Linked DNA regions of Schizosaccharomyces pombe. Changing the gene in region 2 together with the main gene of any one other region gives a genetic interaction. Each region holds a gene or a part of one and is shown on either strand. Other genes may lie near its edges.

What was found.
Region 1: mutations in caa1 (region 2) and gid5 together harm fitness more than expected from each alone (negative genetic interaction), as found in Schizosaccharomyces pombe (one large-scale study listed by BioGRID).

What each region holds. Positions count from the first base shown.
Region 1 is NC_003424.3:4,119,959-4,125,480, reverse strand, and holds gid5 (protein Gid5), read right to left. Parts: upstream 3,509-5,522; 5' UTR 3,333-3,508; coding exon 963-3,332; 3' UTR 744-962; downstream 1-743. Other genes in the region: mga2 (IPT/TIG ankyrin repeat-containing transcription regulator), read right to left, coding at 1-269; CAF assembly factor complex subunit B Pcf2, read right to left, coding at 3,843-4,903, 4,969-5,211, 5,253-5,355, 5,451-5,522. UniProt on the Schizosaccharomyces pombe protein: Component of the GID E3 ligase complex recruiting N termini and catalyzing ubiquitination of proteins targeted for degradation.
Region 2 is NC_003424.3:1,230,080-1,234,178, forward strand, and holds caa1 (aspartate aminotransferase), read right to left. Parts: upstream 1,961-4,099; 5' UTR 1,939-1,960; coding exon 709-1,938; 3' UTR 561-708; downstream 1-560. Other genes in the region: SPOM_SPAC10F6.14C (ABC1 kinase family protein), read right to left, coding at 2,237-3,844. UniProt on the Schizosaccharomyces pombe protein: Plays a key role in amino acid metabolism.

The DNA.
Region 1 (5,522 bases), 2.9 Mb from region 2:
CTGGCATGGGATAAAGACGGAGGAGCTATACTAGGCAAATTTAGACCTTGATCCGGCAATCCATCGAAGTTAAAAAATTCACGCATTTCTGCATCGCCGTTTCCGGCTTTTTCAAAATCGGGAGAGGAAAACATATAATCATCAGAGGAAGACCTCCCCTCCTCTGAACTAAATTTCATGAGCTTGTTTACTTCCCAAGTTCCTTCTTCCTTAGTCGAATTCTCGGTATTTTTGGCGATCAAATTTCCAAAAGAAAATTCTAAATTCATCTTGAGAGTACTTTGAAATGCAATAGACTACCTTTATAAAGGCAATTCTTTCAAAGAATTTAAAGGTCTTTAATGTACTACTTCTTTTCAATTCTCACTTTTGCTTTCCTCCTCGATTAGTTGGTTGTTGGAAGCTGTCGCTGCGCTACTACACTAATCTCTTCCATCACGTTGTGCAAGTATTACATGCTTTCCACTTGAGCACACATTCTCTAGTATTACTCTTATTTTAACAAGTTATTATGTTATATTTATTTAAATAATTAGTTTGTGGGTTTTGTTTTTTAGTTCCGCCACTTTCTTCATATTCGATTAATTTCCTTTCGGCATTATATACCAACAAAAAAATTCCCAACATTCTGATAAATTTAGTAGAATACATGTAAATGAAATTGTTCTTGTCAAAGTACAACTTTCCTTAAAAAATTTTTACAATGTTAAATAGGTTTTTACACTATCCCGCATACATATAAGTTGAATGTTCATAATACTTATTTTATTCGTTTTGATAAATCATTAAATCTTTTTATATACGATCATTCTCAAAGTACTTCAATCCAACAACCTGTTAACTTCAGCTGCAAGAGTTGTGCACACATTTATACATACAGAAATACTAAATGCGAAAATGGCTCCGATTTGTTAGACTGTTCCAATCAAGTCGGCAAAGACAACGGAAAAGCGTAATAGAAATTAATCGGTTACATTGATGTACATCAAGGCATCTTTGACACGTTCCCTTACATCAGGAGATGAGTGATTTTGTAGCATCTGCAAACATTCTCCAAATCCGAGATTTTGTAAGATACTTGCTCTTTCCTTATCTTCCTGGCTTGGAGATGTACATTGTTTGGGCCATAGAATGTTAATACAGAGCCAAATTCCGGCCAACAGAATTTCGGAGTTTGGTTCATAAGTGTCCTCTTCATAAATATCGAAAGGAGGACGCATTTCCCTATCAAAATCATCTTCTTGCAAATCCATTTCACTGTCACTTTCCGGAGATGACACATTTGTGGACATTTGCTCGGGCTTGAGACGTTGTGCTTCTTGTAGCATAATTTCCTTCACCAATAGTAGTAGTTTGGTTTGCCTTAGGATAGAATCCCTAAGCTCACCATCGCTGGCAGCGATGTGCACCAAAATGTAAATACTGGGTTCAATTAGGATAGGATTTTTACTTTCTAATTTTTCAAGCAAAATTTTTGCTAACAACTCCATAGGAACCATTTTCAAAAGAAAATCCACGCTTTCTTCTTTCTGACATGTAAAATTTCGCAGCACTTGCAACATTTGCTCTTGGACCCCCAGATCTTCGTCATTGCAAAGTTCCACAAGCTTTGAAGCACCGATCTTTTTTAAAGGTTCAAGCTGGATCGTCTCATCATCACCAAATACAACATGCCGCAGAACCCACACGGTCTTCTTTCTTAGACTGCTATCTTTCGTACTAATATTTGATATCAAAGTATCAATGAAATTTGTAGTAAGGAATTTCTCTCTCAAAGGAGAAAACTTAAGTACCAAGTTACAAATGGCAGACGTAGCAGTCGATTTGACTCTAGTATCCGGGTCAGAAAGCAACTTTATTAATGGTTCGCTCACGTCTGCATCGGCAAGGCCCGTACGTAAAATGTAAACGCTTCTCGAGAGACTTAATAAGCATTCACAAGCAGCCTTTTTCACGCTGTTAGAATTGATTTTCAAAGCATTAATGATAACAGGCAAATATTTAGCATCAACTATTAGTTTTCTGTATTCATCTTTAGAAGTTGTTAATGCAGCAACGGCTAGCAAAACTGATTCTAAGATTAGGTTTTTTTGCTCCTTTTTGGTAGCAGGAAGATTAAAACAAACGCTGGATTGCAATTCATCGGATAAAAAATTAATTTCATTCTCTTCTTCTTTAGTTGCGTATTCTAGAAGATATTTGGCAGCATCAATAAAACCTGCATTTACAGCCGTCTTTTGCATAATTTCGTTTTCATTGATTATGATGGCGAGAATACGAGGAGCGATTTGTTTTGCTTCTCGAGATTCAAAAAATAAACGGATGAGAATGGGAGTTACTATCATTTGAATCTCCTTAGTTTGATTTTTAGAAAGGATGCCTGCCTTGTATAGGGTCACTAAACAAGAAATTGAGAGCAAGCGAATACAAGGATCAAACTGTCTAACGAGACAGAATAACTGAGTAATATATTCATCACCATTAGGCCCAAATATCTCTGATTTAAATAAGGCGACCTTATCCTTGTTTCCCTCAAAAACATTTTCAATTTCATCTAAATCCATATCGCGAGGCGAAACGTGACCATTTGATTCTAGCCGGGTTTTCTCTCTTTGTTTATAAGACTTCACATGCTGTTTTAAATAAGCATTCAAAGTACCCAGGGAGTTAGTAATTAAGATAGAGCAATCATTCCAAAATCTTCTTCTGGAATACAAGCGCAATTGGGTAGCTCTGTTAGTGATTTGAAATAAAGCAGAACAGAATCGTGGAGAGTCTCCAACTTTAGAGTTATAAAGGATAAGACGATGCAAAATCTTAGAAGATAAATTTGAGATACGCAACACATCAAGAGAAGGTTGTTCTTTCAAGGGTAAAGTATACAAGTCAAACATTTGATTAATTATAGAGTCCGAATGTAACTGAGTGACATATTCTGCTGCTTTGTCAAAACTCAGCATTGTGTTAAAAACTTTAAGGGTGATATTCAGCATTCCATATGGTGTACTATCCCTTTTCGAAATCATTTGCATAACGGAAAGAAGATCCTCGTGTCGTAAAAATTGAACGAAAGGGTCCTGGTCCTCACTCATCAAGGAGTTTAAAACAACAAAAACTTGATATTTTTCATTCATGGATAAATTTTCTAAGGAAAATAAATTAAGCAACAGCTTTGGAGCTCCATTGCGAATTGCATATTCTTTTCTGTCGGGTCTTCCAATTACCCAATTTTTGAAAGGAACGATATACCTCAACAACTCATGCTCATCCTTAAATATTTTAGGATTTTCTTTAAAAAACGAAGAATCCGTAGAGTCGTTAATGGCGACCATTCATGAACAAAACTTGAAGATATTTGCAAAAAATATGAGACTTCAGTAAATTTGGAAAACTAGCGTGAAAATGAGCTGATTAAATCTTTTTTTAATAAAAGTAGATTATTAGCAATTTAATCTATGCAATGAGTAATGTATAAGATGCAATTCCTATAGAATGGTGGTGATGTTATGTGTAAGAGGGTTCCTCAATACGTATTTTATACTTACAGAAAAGTTACATATTAGTTTTATAGTCTTAAGTAGACAAAAAGTACAAACGATTAGAAGTATTATTTGCTTTTTATATATTTATCTTAACAATTGTAATGAATTTAATTGTGCTTATATCTAAGCAAATTACCGAATGATTACATCCAAAGTAGAATGTACAGTTTTGCCTTCTTTTTTTTTTTTAAAAAAATAAAAGGTTCTTTAAAGTTACTAGTACAAAACAAGAAGTACGAGATTTTTACTCCAAAAATCAAAGCGTATTGTCGAAGTAGAACTTTTTTCATAAACATGAAATTATGGATAAACGGGGGTAGGTGCAATACGCTTCTTTGATACTTTTGAAGATTCAACTTTTCTGGGAATTAGTGTTGTAGTAGCTGGTCCCCCAGCCGTATTGTCTTGTGAATCATCAATACTAGAGGGTGAAGCTGATCGTTTCTCCGGCAAAGAAATTTTGTGTTGACTTTTGACACCCAATTCTCCAGGTTCAAAGGTAATTACAGAACAAAAACCATCTATAGAAGTCATTAACAAAACATTTCCATCATCATTCCAAGCTATGTCTGTAAGGTTAGAGTAATGTAAATTTACTGCACGATAAAATGGTTTGCAAGTTTGCGTATCATAAATATAAACAGCATCTTGACATGCCACAGCAAATACCATTCGATAAGGAAGATTAAAAGAGACAGAAGTAAAAGAGAAGTTAGAGAATGAGTTCAATTCATAATGAATTGGAGAAAAACGAACCGCAATAACTGGTTTTTTGAATCCATTAAGACAAGCTACTGGCTGTTTGGTTATACTCCCTCTTGTATAAATATAAGCAGTATAGGGAACTTCAAAGTTTGGTTGACCGTGCGGTCGAAGCCGACCAGCAGGCGTAACTAGTAGTAATCCGTCAGGGGAGAATGCTGGACGACGAAAAAAAGAAACAAGAGTTTCATTGCAGTACAAAGAGTAACTGATTTTTGAATTGAGAGAATTTGGAGGCTCTGTTCGCTCTAAGCTTCCATCTTTGACTATGTTTGCAGTTGATGAGAGAGCTTCGTGCTTAGATACGGGAGACTCATTATTATTAGAAGTTTCGATAGGTTCTGATATCCCCGATGATTCATCATTATTTAAGGGCTTCGTAACAGATATTAATTCGAATTTAGTTACATTATACTCAATACGACAGATGCGCGATTTTAAAACGAGTTGGAATTTTTTCGGATTCTTTTTTTCCTCTTGAATTTCGTATAAACATATAGAACGATCACTACTTTCCGAAACGATGTATTGATTCAAAGGATCCCAACATACCCCTTGAACGTAATGTGAATGGTCGAATTTTTGAGTAAGCAGTTGCCCTTCTTAGTCAGTAATTTTAATTTAAAAAAAAATATTGCCAATAACAACAACTGCCAATTCATACCTGTGTGAGCATCGTACAACCGAAGACTATTATCCATGGCGCCGGCAATAAGAAAATTACTGTCAACCGACCAGCATAAATCATATATTTCTGAACCCATCGACCTACAAACTATTTTGACCTTCCAATATTCTTTAGCTAGAGCCAACTCTTCCGCATCATCAGCCAAAGTTGTTATAGGAGTGTTAGTTGGAACCCATAACATAATAGTTCCTTCATCTCCGGCGGTAGCAAGAATATTTCCTATTTTAATGTGAGCATTGGAAAAAATTATTAGCGAATACCTTCTGGATTGAAACGAACGACGTTCACTGCTTGCGTGTGTCGACTTAACGTAGACAAATATTCGACTTTTGTGGATGATTCCGAAGTGATCAATTGCCATATCTGGATATTAGTATAATTGAAGGAATTTTCTTTCTTTTTTTTAAACTACAACAAACAATAGTTGAAGCAAAAATAGTTTTATGTCAAATCATTACCCTGATTTTACTGTCTCCTCCACATGTAGCAAATTTATTAAGACTGTTCTTTTGAAAATCAACTGAATAAAT
Region 2 (4,099 bases):
TTAAATTCAGGTATGTGAATTCAACTTTCTTTATTAAATTTATCGAGAAGAATTATTGAGTCAAAATGTCCTAACAAACTAACTCATACACATTTAGAGATGTTATAATTATTAATTATTGGAGGAAAGACACGAGAAGAAATAAAATTTATGCAAAGAGGGATATTCCTTGCTTTAGCCTGGTTTTCGAGTTATTAGGATATTTTCAAAATTTCCTGCTTAAAATTATAGTTGACACAATAGGGAAGTAAAACAAAGAAAATCATACTCATATTGTATTACTTAAGTTTTGACTTCTTTTCTTTGTATTGGCTCTAATAGTTGCTAAAAGTTGTATTATATTAATGTAGTAAACCTCGATATAACAAAGAATTCAAATACTCTGTCATTAATCAATTTGCAAGTTATGAATTATTAAAAAAGAACTCTTTCTCAGTTTTGTCTAAACATATCCGATTACAAACTGATATCAACTTGTTTTGCAAATAATGAGCCAAATACTGATGTCTAACTCACAAAGGAGAAGTCCCGGTGTATGAGTTGAACAGATAACTTCATATTATTCAAAAATTCAAAGAATAAATGCATATACTAGTTCTCTAAATTGCTAAAGAATTTGTTCCTAAATTCGTCAAATTTACAACAATCCAAAATTCTGTATTCATGAATCCAATACTTATCTATGTGACTTTGGTATTAATAATCAGTTTAAGGCAACTCGCGAACAGCATGGTTAAATGCCTGTGCAACATGCTCTACATTAGAATTGTTCAAACCAGCCATAGAAATACGACCATTTGCACTGAAATAAAGATGGTACCGCTCCTGGCAAAATTGGACTTGTGCAGGCGTTAAACCGGTAAAAGAAAACATTCCAATTTGTTGTGTAATATGATCCCAAGAACCGGGGGTTTTGAGTGCAACAAGAGAATCGCGAAGACGTTTCCTCATCTCAATGATTCTAGAAGACATAGTCTTTAAATCTTGTTCCCATTCAGCAAACAATTGAGGACTGTTAAGAATTTCGGCAGCAATACGTGCACCGTAAGCGGGAGGGTTAGAAATGGTGTTACGTTGAACAATACACAATTGAGATAAGACCTTGTTTTTAGTGGAAGCGTCCTTTGCAACGTAATGCATGCAACCAGTACGTTCACCATAAAGACCCATATTTTTAGCAAATGACTGACAAACGAAAAAGTCCTTGTTATATTTGACAAACTCGTTTAGAGCCCAAGAGTCACGATTCAGATCACCACTGGCAAAACCTTGATAAGCAATGTCAAAAACTACCAGATGCTTGCGAGAAAGCAGACTCTCGAATATAGAAAGCCATTGTTCCCTAGTGGGGTCAATACCAGTAGGATTGTGAGCACAAGCATGAAGTAAAAATATACTTCCTTCGGGAGCAGATTTAATGGTACTTAGCATGCCTTCGTAATCAAAAGATCTATTCTTGGCATCCCAATAAGGATATGTATCTACAGTGACTCCCAATTTTTCCCACAAAGTGCGATGGACAGGCCAAGTAGGGTTGGAGATGTATACATGGGCTCCAGTGTGCTTTACATAGAAAGTCTCAATGAAACTAGCAGCAAGAAAATTGGCACCAGTACCAGAGACTGACTGCATAGATGCAACACGGTCCTCGGACAATAAATGAGGATTGGGTCTGAAAAGAACTTCAGCCGCAGCCTTAGTGAAACGAGGCAATCCAGCAATTGGTAAATATTCATGGTTGAAGCTTGCCTGTTCTTCCACTATTTTAGATGCTTTTTTAACTGCAGGCAAAATCCAAGGCTTACCAGTATCGTCACGATAGGCGCCAACACTCATGTTAACCTTCTTGGGATCTTCATCCTGATGGTATTGAGCATTTAATTTAAAAATTGCATCTGCCTTAGCTTCCTCAATATTTGCAAACCCGTAGTCTGACATTGTGGTTAAATATGCGGTAGGTAGATTTCAACCTTACTGATCTACTATATATATATATTTATCACTCGGTTTAGTATCACTATATTATCAGTATACTTCATTGACATATAAGATACCGAGCTTGATGTACTGTAATAGTGAATAACGATACAAAGTTTGACTCGTATAGGGAGGAGCTTAACTTTTACAAGGAGGAGCTCTGAAGTGTCTTATCGAGAAAAGTAGGCAATATGTGAAGTTATATTATTATGGTCAAAGATTGGCTTTCCATAAAGAAAAGTAATCTTTACTATAAATATCATTTTTTATCATTAGTAAGTTCAGGCAACCGAAAATTTCCAGGGTAAAATAAATGTTGAAAGACCCAAAAAATAGGCGACAACAGCCGTTGATACCAAGTTGGACTAGGTTTGTCGGTAGTGTATTTATCAGCAACCTTGGCCATAACAGCTATACTATTCACTGGATACCCAAAATTTTGGTTATTTTTTTGAATAAGCATTAAGCAGCGACCTAGCATTAACAGCTCTTTCGGTAAACGAGTGCAGTCCTGTAAGAAGCCAATGAACTTTTTGCGTTCAGCAAGCTGCTGTTGGAAGGCCTCTTTCTTTGAAATAATTTTTTCACCAGTGTGAGGTTGCTCTTCATCCATTGGAATATTTAACATGCGGTTAGCAAAAAGCTCAGGTTGTCCAATCCCCCAAGCATCCATTACCTGAAGAATAGATTTTTTGTCTAATGAATAGGCTGCAGTGAAAAGCAAGGCAAATTCTTTTCTAAACTTTTCTGATTCAAATACATATAACCCATGATCCAAAATTACCGTTTGACACAAGCCTGCTTGATTTTTTCGAACAAGGATATTTCCAGGATGTGGATCACAATGAACTTGTTTCGAATGAAACATTTGGAAGGCAAGGAATCTGAAAAGGTTCGTTAAAATTTCCTTTTTGCTCATCCCAGCTTCAGAAAGAGCAGTTTGATCATAGAGGGGAATGCCATCAGCCCATTCAGTAACCATTACTCGCTTTCCAGAAATCTCTTTATAAACCTTTGGTATATATATCTTATCTCTTAAATAATCAGTTTCTTCTACCCCTTCACGAGCATGTTCCGAATTGTTAGCTTCAGTTGTAAAATCAACCTCAGAACGTAATCTTTCCGAGACATAATCAACCGTAAAGTAGAGAGGGATATGAAATATCCATTTATCATAAACATACATCATGTATTTGTACACGAGAAGATCCCACGACATTTGCTTAGCAACATCTGGTTTTTGAATTTTTACCGCGACCTTTTCACCGCTAGGTAAAACAGCACGATGTACCTGCGCAATACTGGCACTTGCAGCAGCACGTTTCTCAATGCTGGCAAATACTTCCTCTACTGGTCTTCCATATTGCTCTTTGAATATGTCTTGAAGTTCTTCCCATTCAACTTGAGGTGCATTGTCAAACATTCCCTGAAAGGCTTTCCCATACGCTTCAGGCAAATTATTTGATTGCATAGCAATGATTTGACCCATCTTGATGTATAAACCGCCATTTTTGTAAATCGTTTTAAACAGTCTCTGTGCTACTCTTTGGTGCAAAGCATCAATTTTGTCTGCCTTTTTTTCGCTGAAATTCAACTTATAGTCAGCCGCAATTATAGAAGCGGTGTATACTGTTCTAATACTACGGGTAAGTGCATGGGCATTATACACTCGATCCCAAGCGTAGACACCTATTCCAGCAGCACCAACAAATACGAACCTCTTCATCCATTTACGTTTGTTACCAGGAACTCCATGATTTTGCAATGCTTGACTGTTATAACGTACATCAGCATATGTCTTTGATCGCTTAATGAAGCGACTGGTAGTTTTCTGCAGTAGAGAAATTGTTCTCCACGAAGTCAACATCTCTACGGGATGAAGGCTTTGAAGAAGACGAATTTGAGCAGAAGTAAACTAAGTTCAACACTTTGGATTCAAGGAAGGTAGTAAAGGGACTATCATAAATAGATCAAGTTGGCGCTGTGTCCTTTCAACATTCTCAACTTTCTGACCTAAGGCAGCCATTGAAATGCATTCTCCCATTTAGCGTATCATACTTTTGATAAATTAACTGAAGATAACGTCGCCAGTATACTATTATTTTAGACATTATATTACACA